Mus musculus: one gene and its partners. The protein of the gene in region 3 purifies or fractionates together with the protein of the main gene of each other region. This does not show direct contact. Links are inferred from orthologs where the notes say so. Each region holds a gene or a part of one and is shown on either strand. Other genes may lie near its edges.

The links. The genes of interacting proteins can lie anywhere in the genome.
Region 1: the proteins of Chchd4 (region 3) and Tor1aip1 purify together in Homo sapiens (co-immunoprecipitation; 3 studies listed by BioGRID and IntAct, with this or other methods). This does not show direct contact. The link is inferred for Mus musculus from reciprocal best matches to the Homo sapiens genes CHCHD4 and TOR1AIP1.
Region 2: the proteins of Chchd4 (region 3) and Ssna1 purify together in Homo sapiens (co-immunoprecipitation; 3 studies listed by BioGRID and IntAct, with this or other methods). This does not show direct contact. The link is inferred for Mus musculus from reciprocal best matches to the Homo sapiens genes CHCHD4 and SSNA1.

The regions. Positions count from the first base shown.
Region 1 is NC_000067.6:156,033,660-156,037,964, reverse strand, and holds the start of Tor1aip1 (torsin-1A-interacting protein 1), read left to right. Parts: upstream 1-1,484; 5' UTR 1,485-1,729; coding exon 1,730-2,207; exon of another isoform or gene 2,208-2,301; intron 2,302-2,757; exon of another isoform or gene 2,758-2,775; coding exon of another isoform or gene 2,776-2,779; intron 2,780-3,147; exon of another isoform or gene 3,148-3,284; intron 3,285-4,164; coding exon 4,165-4,239; intron 4,240-4,305. UniProt on the Homo sapiens protein: Required for nuclear membrane integrity. Induces TOR1A and TOR1B ATPase activity and is required for their location on the nuclear membrane. Binds to A- and B-type lamins. Possible role in membrane attachment and assembly of the nuclear lamina.
Region 2 is NC_000068.7:25,270,518-25,273,895, forward strand, and holds Ssna1 (Sjoegren syndrome nuclear autoantigen 1 homolog), read right to left. Parts: upstream 1,902-3,378; 5' UTR 1,833-1,901; coding exon 1,781-1,832; intron 1,612-1,780; coding exon 1,412-1,611; intron 1,065-1,411; coding exon 957-1,064; 3' UTR 522-956; downstream 1-521. Other genes in the region: Anapc2 (anaphase-promoting complex subunit 2), read left to right, coding at 1,999-2,160, 2,398-3,020, 3,283-3,378. UniProt on the Homo sapiens protein: Microtubule-binding protein which stabilizes dynamic microtubules by slowing growth and shrinkage at both plus and minus ends and serves as a sensor of microtubule damage, protecting microtubules from the microtubule-severing enzyme SPAST.
Region 3 is NC_000072.6:91,470,575-91,474,810, reverse strand, and holds the start of Chchd4 (mitochondrial intermembrane space import and assembly protein 40), read left to right. Parts: upstream 1-1,387; 5' UTR 1,388-1,473; coding exon 1,474-1,495; intron 1,496-4,236. Other genes in the region: Tmem43 (transmembrane protein 43), read right to left, coding at 913-924.

The DNA.
Region 1 (4,305 bases), on a different chromosome or scaffold from region 3:
TAAGCAAATCTATGTTAAATGCGAAGTTAACTGCCTCTAAACTTTAACATCCTTATTTTTTCTTTGAAAAAGCCACTCATAAAACTACTTTATAAGTACTTTTAATTACAAAACAAAGCACATGCCAATTATCCAATAATCTTTGTAACCTCTCATTTTCTCTGATTGACCAATTATGTATAGAACCTCTTCACTTTCTTTTTCATGTATCCTTCAAACCAGAGTTTAACAAGCCAGCACCCAGGTGTCTTTAGTCATCTGTTGCACACACTGCCTTATGAGCTTAGAATATAAACACTACAAAAATTTATATCCTTTCACTGCTGTACATCTATTAAAGAATTTTTGTGATTGTTGACTGTGTAAATAGGCACTTTACAAACAAAGCATTACTGGAAAAGACACAAGCCAAACATTACCAAGTTATCAGTACTTCTCAGCGTTTTGTAGAAAAAAAAAAGCCACACCCAGTTTTCAGGCTACCACGAATGAGTATCACTTTCGTTTTTCCTTAAGTTTTGTTTTCTAAAAAAGTGCTACCAAGTGTGGTGGCCCACACCCTTAATCCTAGCGTTTGGGGAGCAGCGGCAGGTTGATCTCTGTGAGGCTGAGGCCAGTCTAGTCTACAGTTCCAGGACAGGCAGAGATCACCCTCCCTCCCTCCTTTCACTCACTTACACACACACACACACACACACACACATCTTTAAAAAAAGGGCAGCTGTCTCCTTATGGCTCCCCTTCTTTGTAGTTAATAAACAATGCTAAATGAAGCTCCAAACATGACTCTTGAGTCATCTGTGTTGCTGACCAAATTTATAGACTATTTGTGAAAATTCTAGTAACTGGGAATTTGTCTAAGTTTGAGTAACAACTTAAGGTCATTATTTAAAATACTGGAAAAAGGCAAATACTTTTAAGTTTTTTTTCAAAATCACTGTTATGTGGCTTCCAAATAAAAACTCAAAATCGATTTTTTTTTTTTTTAGGGCTAGGGTATAGCTTATTGGTATACCATTCACGTGAAAATTCAAGAATATGGTTGATATGGCTACGACTCAAAAATGGAAACACACCCCAAGAGTGTAACTAAACACAATTTTAAAGGGTCAACAGGTGAATAAAAATTTTAAACTGGGTAAAAGCAATTTCATAAAGGTCCATGAAACTATAATTTTCGCCATAAGATGACATGCAGAATTGCCTTTCTGATCATTTCTCCTCCCAGGGACATTTGAAAAGGAGTGGCCAAAGTAGCAGGGGAACTGCGCAACAGCTTGGGATCAAGGACTGAAACTTGCCCTTTCCCAAAGCCTCTGGGAGCCAGGACCAGCGCCCCCGGTGGTGGGCAACTGGCCATCAGCAGCTTGGCACAGGCCACTTGTCCTACCACCTCCTGGTCGCCCCCACCTTTCCCTCCAAGGCCAAGGACAGAGACGTCCTCCTCCCCCTTCTCCTCCTCTTTGGTGCCTTCAGCCAGGAGGCGGGAGTGACCCGCAGCAGCTGACCCAGCTCGGGCACTGCCTCTCCGACAGCCCTCAGGACACACCATGGGCCTGGAGGCTGGTTGGTGGCACACGAGCGAGGACGCAGGCGGCGGCCCCGGCGACTCTCAACTGCCTCCCTGACCACTGCGACAACCTCCCCGAAGCCATCGCCACTACCCGCAGCGGAATCTATCTGCGGCCAATCTATCGCCACGAACCGACTACCAGCTACGTAAACAACTATGGCGGGAGAAAGGTGGCAGGCCGAGGGGCCCGGAGAAGGTTGGGCCATCTACGTCACACCCAGAGCCCCCATCCGGGAGGGAAGGCGGAGGCTCGACCCGCGAAATGGCGACAGCAGTGACGCGCCTGCGTACGGAGCTCACCCGTCGCGCCGCGGACGACGGGAAGTGAGGTTTTCAGAGGAGCCGGCAGAAGTGTACGGCGACTTCGAGCCCCGGGCGGCCAAAGAAAGGTCTCCGGGGGGGAGACGAACCCCGCCAGAAAAGTTCCGGCCGGCTTCTGCGGGAGAGGAAGTGAGAGAAAGCGCTTACAACCTTCGCTCTCGACCACGGAGGCAGCGGCGAGCCCAGGAAGCCGAGGAGATGAAGACGCGGAGGTCTGCTCGCCTTGAGCAGCACTCACAGCAGCCGCAGCTGTCTCCGGCCACGAGCGGCCGAGGGTTACGGGACTCTCCGTCCTCCAGTGAGGACCGCGAAGGTAACAGTCTCGGCTGCGGGCTCGGGAGCGCGCGCGGCGGCGGGCACGCGGCGGCAGGCGCGCCCCCGTGGAGGCCGGCCCCGCTCCGGCCCCGCCTGGGTCCTGGTGATTTCTGCGGCCCTTTGGGCGCGCACTCCCGGATTGAGTCCACCCGGACCCTCAAGAGGGAAGGACGCAGTGGGCCGCGCGGGAAGGTGGTGGTGCGAAGTGACCCGAGCGGAGGCGGGCAGCTCTGCCTAGTCCTGGAGCTTCAGTTTGGGGGGTCTAGGTCTCCTCTTTCTGTAGGCTTTTGCTAGAGGTCGGCGGCTAAGCCATTGTCGGAGCCCCAAACTACTCTGCGCTCGGTTTCATTTCCGTCCTCTGAAGTTTCTACTGAAGCCACTTCCATTTCCTTTTTTTTTTTTTTTTTTTTTTTTTTAAATCTCGGGGGCCCCAAGTCCCCAGCTGAAAATCCTGTTTTTAAGTTAACTTTCCAGTCGGTTTCTTTCGTTTTTTTTTTTTTTCACCAAGATTGGGAAAACGAGATCATTTCTAGGCGGATGCTACGAGGAGTAGCTGACTTTAATGAATGGGTTGGTGACATTACTCCAAATACAGAGTCTGGTCTCTGCCAGACTTTCCCCCCAGATTGGAGGCCATCACGGTAATCTTAAGTAGCTAAACAAGTCAAGACTGACAAACTACTGAAACAAAACAAGGTTCTATTTATTAGTAAAGCTTATATATGAAGCCCCAGATGCCAACAGGGTGTGTACTATAGTTTTAGTTAAGTCACACAGATGAACCAAATTCTTCAAGCCATCCTCTTATTCCCTGCACTCGGATATAACTGAGTCACAGGTGGTTCCAGTAAGCCCCATGTCAGTCACCTAATTATGAGGTAAAATTCTGAGGGTTAGAGTCACAGTGGGATGGCCTCCCTAATACATTTGATGCATCTGAACAGGAGTGGATTTAAAGCTTAGAGCACAGTAAACTGGCTTGCAGATTTACCTACTTGCCCTTAAAGTCCTGACACACTTGAAGATCTGTTCATTTGGGAAACTTTATGCTAGAGATGTGCATGCTCTTTTGGATGTAAGGAGACAGTTTATTTGCTTATACATGTCAGCATTTCTTTTAAGATGGCAAAGTTGGGAGAAAAAAAAAGGAACCTGTCACGCATGTATGCCTGGTCGAAATTTAGGTACTTGTGTTAATTCTGTCTCAGAAACTGAGACAGTGTTTGCACATGGGAGGCAATGTAACTGTTACTTTTTATTGACTTTCCCACAGAGCCTCCTGCACCTAAATTCAGTTTACCTTTTATACATTTTTAGAGGATTTAAACATTTCTTTTACCTGACTCTTGAACCTACCTTTTAATTTTTTATATTTTCTTTATTTACATTTCAAATGTTATCCCCTTTCCTCATTTCCCCTCCGAAAACTCCCCTATATCCCCCCCCCCCCCCAACCAATCCAATCCCTCTCCCTGGCCCTGGCATTCCCCTACACTGGGGCATAGAGCCTTCACAGGACCAAGGGCCTAACCTTTTAACTTGCTAAAGTAGCATTTTTGTCGTAAAGCAACAAGTAGTGGTTTGTATGTTGTTTCACTTCCATGGTTTGCAGCTGCACGTACCTGTGTGAGTATGTGCACGTGAGTACAGGTAGCCTTGGAAGCCAGAAGATGGTGTTGGGTCCCTTGGAGCTGAAGCTACAGAATATCGTAAGCCTTTTGGACTTCGGAAGTCCTCGGAAAGAGCAGCAAATGCCCGTAAACACTGAACTCTCCCCAGCCCTCATCATACTCTGTCTTAATAGGATTTCTAACTGGTTTAATTCCCAAGTTTTGAACCTAGAGAAGTTGAATACTTGCATCTCTCTGTATAGATTACTGGTAAATATGCATACTGTGTGCCATGGTCTCTCCCAGGTCATCTAACTTGAATTTTACCTCTTGTTGGTGCTGTAGAGGATGAACCTTCTTCCCGACCTGTTACAAGCCAAACAGCCTCAAAGAAAACTCTTAGAACACCAGAGGCTTCAGGTAAGAAGAGTTTGGTCTTTTGGTTTTCTCTTTTCCTGCCAAAGACTCATGAAGAATCACAGCTCA
Region 2 (3,378 bases), on a different chromosome or scaffold from region 3:
TTTCATACTATGTCCCAGTCTGGTTTACAGTTTACTATGCAGACATGAATGGCCTTGATTTTAAGGCGATCCTTCTTCCTCAACGAAGGATGACAGGTGTAAACTACCACAGCTGTTTTCTGGATCTTTTTGGTCACCAAATACTTCCAAACTTTCCCCAGAAGCTGTGACAAAGGGCTGGGTCATAGGGCACATGGAAATAGTAAGTAAGCAACACATGTGGTTGGAAGATGGGTCCTAACAGCAGCAGCAGCAGATTGGACCAAACAGAACTTACTGTCCCTGTCTCTATCTCTGAGCCAGGTTCTGTATTGAGCACCATCGTAGAGCAAAGCCCCTCACAGAAAAGTGGTTTGTGTTCTGGACTTGGGGAAAACACCAGCACCTTTGCAAAGAGAGTTAAGGGCTAGGGCTGACCTGTGTGAGGTGAGTACTTTCAGCATTTTGTGTTTTGAAGATAAGAAAGGGAAAAACTGCAGGTCTTCTTACCAACAGGATATATGGTAGCTAGCAGACACAGATCTTGCAAAACAACCTTTATTGAAACACCAGAGGCCATGGGGATGGGCCCTAAGGTTTTGGTTCTGGAGTCAAGATTCTTTCTTCAACATGTCTGGCCTGGGGCCCTAGTGGCTGGGGAGACAAAGTGAGGGGCTCCCACAGTACTCAGACCAGGACCAGGACATTCCTGGTAGCCCAAAGGGATTCAGGAGCTTCAGAGAGAGGCCCCTCATGGAGCTGCTCAGGGTCCCCACAGCACATGTGAGTACGGAGCTGGGAACACCTCTTCCATTGGACTGTCCTAGGGCTTTTCTTGTCTAGGCAGGTGGAGGTCAGAAATTGCCCCTCTGGGCACCAGAGATAAAAGACATCTGAGGCCACGAAGAACAAAGATGCTTTAGGACAGACATGTTGAGGACTAAGCAGCCATAGGCCACGGCTGAAACAGGCACTCGTCAGCTGTCCTTGCCTCCACTACTCTTCTGGTCTGAAGCTGTGGCTTTAGTCAGGTTCCCAGCTTCTCTTTTGAGTACACTAAGCAGAGTCTGAGAGCTCTCCAGGATCTGGGGCCAGAGAAATAAAAGGATGTTATTTCTCTGGTAGGAAGGTCCCATTGCCTCAGGCTCTAATAATGGAGGATGGAAATCTCAATTTGGTCATCTGTGCTGTAGCCAACTGGTTATGGAGTAAAACCATCCTCCCTTCTGCACCTGTCCCAGAGCTCTTCCACCCTGCAAAGCCAGGCTGGGTTAATTCAGGCCCACACCGTGTACTCTGTCCAATACACCAATGCTCACTTTTGGAACCCACAGACAGCCCACTGTTCCACCTACAGCCTCTGAACCACAATGGGCCCTACCTAGCCTCAGATGGTAGTAAGGCACTCACAACAGACATCTGAGAGCCCCACCTTGAGGTAGGCGGCCTCGGTTTCTGCGATGGTCCGGTCAAACTCGTTGCGAGAGGCGATCTTGCGCGCCAGGTTCTCGTTGACGCGGGCCAACTTCTCCGTGAGCTGCCTCACCTCATTCTGTAGCCGCTGCTTTTCGTCCTCCTCTTGCTGGATCTGCCGGCACAGCTCCTCTCGCTTCTGACACAACTCCTCGATGCCTAGGGTGGGTGGGAAGACAGAGCTGTGGGTGGGGACTCGTGAGCTTCCGACCCCAACCAGCAATGACAGAGGGGCAGGCCGCAGAGCGGGGCTCGTGAGGCATGTCCACGCAGCCTCCCGAGTGGGTCGGCCGGCCCCGGCCCGCGGCCTTCAGTGCCCGACGCTCACACTTGACCAACTCGTTGTTGTAGTTCTGCAGCGCCGCGCCCTGTTGGGTCATGGTCTGCACCGCGTCCGGAAGCCTCAACCGCCGCCTGCACAGCTAAGTCCGCACCTGCGCACTGCCCACAAAGCGCGCGGGCTGGTGAACGTCACGGCTGCGCCACAGGTCCGCGCTTGCGTCATCACCGTGCGCTCTACTGGGCGGGTCTGTTTTGTGGACAGTGATGGAGGCCGAGGGTGTGGCGGTGGCGGCGGCGGCGGCGGCGGCGGCGGCGGCGGCGACAATTATTGCCTCCGATGACTGCGACTCTAGGCCTGGACAGGAGCTCTTGGTTGCCTGGAATACTGTGAGCACCGGTCTGGTGCCGCCGGCCGCGCTGGGGCTGGTGAGGCCGGGGAAAGGTTGTCGGGCCTGTGCAGATTTCCCGCGACTTTGCATACTTTAGGGGGTCCACCCTTGGGGCCTCACAGCTCCGTGGCCTGCCTGTAGTGGGCTTGCCTCCTTCCTCAGCTACCTGATTTGTTTGGTTCCCTGGCAGCTCTTCGGTTGCTGGGTTTTTCCATGCCCCTCCTCTCCCTTTACCCCTATTCCGCCCCTCTGCTCACGGTTTTCCGTGCTCCAGGCGTCTTCCCGGACCAGCGGTGCAGTCCCACCAAAGGAGGAAGAGCTTCGTGCAGCGGTGGAGGTTCTGAGGGGACACGGTCTGCACTCTGTCCTGGAGGAGTGGTTCGTGGAAGTGCTGCAGAACGACCTTCAAGGCAATATTGCCACGGAGTTCTGGAATGCCATCGCTCTGCGAGAAAACTCTGTCGATGAGCCCCAGTGCCTTGGGCTGCTCCTGGATGCGTTCGGTCTGCTGGAAAGCCGCTTGGATCCCTATCTGCATAGCCTAGAACTCCTAGAGAAATGGACTCGTCTGGGCTTGCTGATGGGCGCTGGAGCTCAGGGGCTTCGGGAGAAAGTTCACACTATGTTGCGGGGAGTCCTGTTTTTTTCCACCCCTAGGACATTCCAGGAGATGGTCCAGCGCCTCTATGGTCGTTTCTTGAGAGTCTATATGCAGAGCAAGAGAAAAGGAGAAGGGGGCACAGACCCGGAACTAGAGGGTGAGCTAGATAGCCGGTATGCCCGCCGCAGGTACTACCGACTTTTGCAGAGTCCTCTGTGCGCAGGATGTGGCAGTGACAAGCAGCAGTGCTGGTGCCGGCAGGCACTGGAGCAGTTCAACCAGCTGAGCCAGGTCCTGTGAGTACTGCTTCCTAACCATGCTGCGGTTTCTCTGCAAGCTTCATTAGTCCTGAATTCAAAAGACCTCTCAATAGAGCTTATAGACTAACTGGCGATGTCTTTTTTGCCCATACTTGTAACCAGGGATTATTGTTCATCACGTTTATACTGTCCTGGACATAGGCATAGGGTGTGTGTGCAGTATCTTTATGGGGAGAGCCCTCCTAGGTAAGGGACAGATGTGTGTTGTGGGTTCTCCATGAGCGGGGATCTTTTCTAGGCATAGGCTCAGTCTGCTGGAGCGGGTTTGTGCTGAGGCCGTGACAACCACCCTGCATCAGGTGACCCGGGAAAGGATGGAAGACCGCTGCCGAGG
Region 3 (4,236 bases):
GGCTGGCCTGCTGGTTGCCTTCTCCTCTGGCTCCAGTGCAGCATTCCTAACCTTTGGTTCTCTTCCCCTGCCAGGGCCAGACAATATGCCAAACAGATATTGCTTGCACAGTGGGTGAAACAAACTCCGGCCTCCCAGGAGGTGAAGTCTGCCGGACTGAGGAGGGGCCTGGGAAGAGGGTGTAACAGGCCCAAGGAGGGCTGTAGTGACACTCTACCAAGGAGGGAGTAAGGGTGTGCCTGGGGCTGGCAGTGCTCCTGAGATGGCTTCAGAGGCGCTTTCACCAGAGGCACTGGTGACTCACCGGCTTCTCCCACACCCAGTCCCCTAGTAGGTGGTGTTGCTCCGTTTGTTGAATGAATGTTAAGATTCACTAGGAAAATTCTTAAGGACTAGTTGCAGTAGGAAGAGGCCAGAGGTCTGGGTGAACTATCCTCAGCTAGGGGCTCTAACCAAATCAGTGCACCAGGAACCCGGCAGCAGAGAAAAGTCTCCCTCTCCACGTCATCCAGCCAGGCTAGTCCAGCTACAGTAGCATCACACAGCCTTTGAGTACACACCCCCTAGGGAGCGAAGACCAAAGAAGCATTTGCTGGACAGTTCCACCTGGGCAGGATCACCTCATCAGTCTGCTCACCAATAGACACTTTCCCCGTGGTCCTTCAGTTCCCCAAGTTCCCCAAGTTTCGTATCCCCAGGGGCCCAGAGAGAAACTAGGAGTGGAAGAAGCAGCCGTGCACGAGCGGACTCGACTAATTGCTGAGGCCCACAAACGCGCAGCCCGAGATGGAGAAGCTCAGAGAGCTGAGGGCAGCTGCACCCACTGGGGTAGCACCCCTGTAAGACCCAGCGCGGATCCAGGGAAAAAGCGGCCCGGATGATGGTGTCACCCGGGCATCAGGAAGCACTTACGTTCGCTGCCATGGTGGGCTTGGTTCGCTGCCGCCGTCTTGCTCTATTCCGCTAGGAATTGGGCTGACGACCGGAACGCAGAATACGGTGACCTCCTGTCTGCCACAGAGCTGCAAGACTTCTCGTGGAATCCAGGACCTGGCGGGACGCAGGACAAAAGTTACCGCCCTGCCTAAGCCTCAAGTTGTCTGCGCGTGCGCATCTTAAGGGCTGCTGGGAAATGTAGTCCGACGTCTGACACGTTCGCCACAAAATTACAAACCACTGTATTTCACTGGTGCGCGTGCGCGCTGCAAGATTTCTGGGAAATGTAGTATCGGTCTAGTTGGAGAGGCGCAAGGGCTGCTGGTCAGTGTAGTTTTCGACTGAGAAGCGGTTCTGGTGCTTAGGACGCGCGGAGGCAGGCGCGCGGCGGGCAGGCCTGGAGGGGGCGGGTCTGTGCGGGCCTCAGTGCCACCCGCCAGGCCTGAGAAGCGGCGAGGGAGGTCACGGCGAGAAGGTGTATCCGCTCCAGCCGCGCCCGCTGCCTCTGCGAGCTGCAGAGGACTGTCGGGAACAACCATGTCCTACTGCCGGCAGGAAGGTGAGTCGGGCGCTGCCATGGAGACCGGCCGGGACGGGCCTGCGAGAGACACGCGATCAAGTGGTCTCCACCGAGCGGCTGTGGGCCCTTTAGTGGGCCTCACGCGGCGGTTTCCAGACGAGAGAGGCAGAGGCTCCGTGAGGAACGAGGCCGGTCCAAGGTCAAGGTGAAGCCCGAACCCGGGCCTCGGAGGGCCTCACGTGGGCCTGGCCAGTGTGGAGCACGTTGTCTCTGGCTGGGAATCGGGGACTGTTAGGAATTAGACACCGTCGCTCCTAGCACTCCCCACGTGGTTCTATCCCGCCCAGGCTTTTTAGCTATCCCGAAAAATTACCGCTTGGGCTAGAGTGGGCGTGCTGAAGTGCATCTGGCAGGAGCATTTAGTGAGCGCCTTCTGTGTACTAGGCACGCTTTTAAACTTAACGTAGCCATTTTTATATGTCGGGTTCCCTTACTGTCCACGTCTTATCAAACGGAAAATTAAGACAGGTTACTCGATCCAGGAACCCACATCAGGTCACGAAACCGGGACCCGCTATGAAAGAGCTTCCTTTCTTCCGTCATTTCTAGCCACGTTGAGGACCACTCACTACCTGTTGTTACCTGTAAGCAGCAACCCAGAAGAATCCAGACCAATCTGTTGCTCTAAGGTCTCCCAGCACTGACTGGCTTCTTATGTCTGAGCTGCCAAACCCGCCAGGCCCTAGTTTCCACTCCTGTAAATTGAGAGATCAGGCGTCATTTACTCTGGTATTCACGAAGCACGTGCCCAAGGCAGGAAAGAGTTGGAGGGCTCTTGAGAATACAAAGCTACAGAGAGACTTGGTTCACCCAGAATTCTCAGCTCCTTTACTCTTAAGTCTAGAGAACATGAGGTACAAAGGAGGAAGTGATCCACCCAAGGCCATACATCCAGTTAGAAGGCCCCAGTCCGCTGTAGAACCCCCTCCTTCCCAGCATCATCATTGGTGCCTCTCCCGAGGACTGTTTCTGTTGGTTAGCACTTGGTGTTCCGCATACGAAAGTCCTTGACCCAGCACTGTTAGGCGGATTCCTAGGATGACTTTTGTTTCCTCCAACCTAGTTGGTAGGTTGATGACGAGTCTTTGAGTTAAGGAGGCTATGCAGATAAACATTTCTACCCCTCTTGATGGATTTACAGACCTCGGGTTTTTCAGGAAGGAGGATGGGTCCATCAGCTGCTAATGCAACATAGAGCCCGTCTTCTTCCTGGTTCAAAAGGTGTGTGTGTATGTGTTTAGTGGTTCTCCGTTTTTGAGACAGTCTCAGTATGTGCCCCTAACTCAAATTCTTCTCTTCGTCCCAAATTCTGGAATTAAAAACACATGCCGCTACCTACAGTCTCTGTGAGTTCAAGGCCAGTGTAAAATAAATTGCATGTTCCAGGCCTGCCAGAGCTACATAGTGAGATCCTGTCCAAAAACAAACCAAAAAATAGTATGTAAGGACTTAGGAGACCATGCGGTGTTATTCTTCCAGTCTCATGTTCTTCCTCCTGCTCCTCAGCTCTTCTGGCTGTGCCCTTTGTCAGGTGCTTTCTTCCTCCAGCTCTCTGAATTGCTAACTTATCCTTTAAGAACCAGCCCAAAGCCGGGCGTGGTGGCACATGCCTTTAATCCCTCACTTGGAAAGCAGAGGTGTGTGGAGTCCTCTGAGTTCTAGGACAGCCAGAGCTATTTTACAGGGAAAACCCTGTCTCAGGAAAAAAAAAAAAAAAAAAAAAAAAAAAAAAAAAAAAAAAAACAAGAGAAATGGGCAGGAGACATGGCTCAGTGGTTAAAAGCACTGACTGCTCTTCCAAAGGTCCTGAGTTCAATTCCCAGCAACCGCATGGTGGCTCACAACCATCTATAATAGAATCTGATGCCCTCTTCTGGTGTGTCTGAAGACAGCTACAATGTACTCATATAAATAAATAAATCTTTTTAAAAGAGAAAGAAAACAAGCAAAAAACCCAGCTTCAATGCCACCAGGTCTTCCCTGATACTTTGTGTCTCTATAAACACACTGAAATTATCTCCCACCAAGCTGAGAGATGGCAGAAGGCCTAGTATACTGTGGGTGTTCAGGATTTAATAGAGTGACCCCAGGCTCATGCCTATCCACCATTCTAATTAGGCAAATGGTTGCCTGGACAGTTATGTCAACAGTCCATACATCTAGTCAGTCTCCAGGTTAAAGACCTCATTGACATTAAGAGAGTCCCACCGTGTGGATGAAGCCTCAGTCTGGCCTTGTGCTCTTGGTGTTTCTGTCAATTCCACACATGGTTCCTTACTTTCCTCCTAATAATAAACAGCCTGCCTCTTTCTGTTCATTCAGCAAACTTTTTTTATTGCAGTGTGATGTGCACTGAGTGAGGTGGCACTTTGGATCTTTACAGAACAAGAAGAAGTTGGCATTAAAGCACTCCGGGATGGATGGGTAGTTACAGACAGCAGGAACTGTGCTGAGACACTGAGGTTCTGCAGGGGTTGCCAGGGCTTGGAAGACCATTTCAGATGCTCTTTCCTCAAACCCTTCCCAGTCTTCAGACCAGGAGAGAATGAACACTGGCTTCTTAGAGCCACCTTTTGCCTCAGGTTTCACTTGGTCTTGAGTTCCTAATCTTTCCTCTACCTCTTTTAGGACTTGTGCGGGCTACTGTGCCTCCTTTATTTAGTGCAGGGATCAAACTTGGACTTTTGTGAGCATGCTCAGCCAGCATACTACAGACTGGG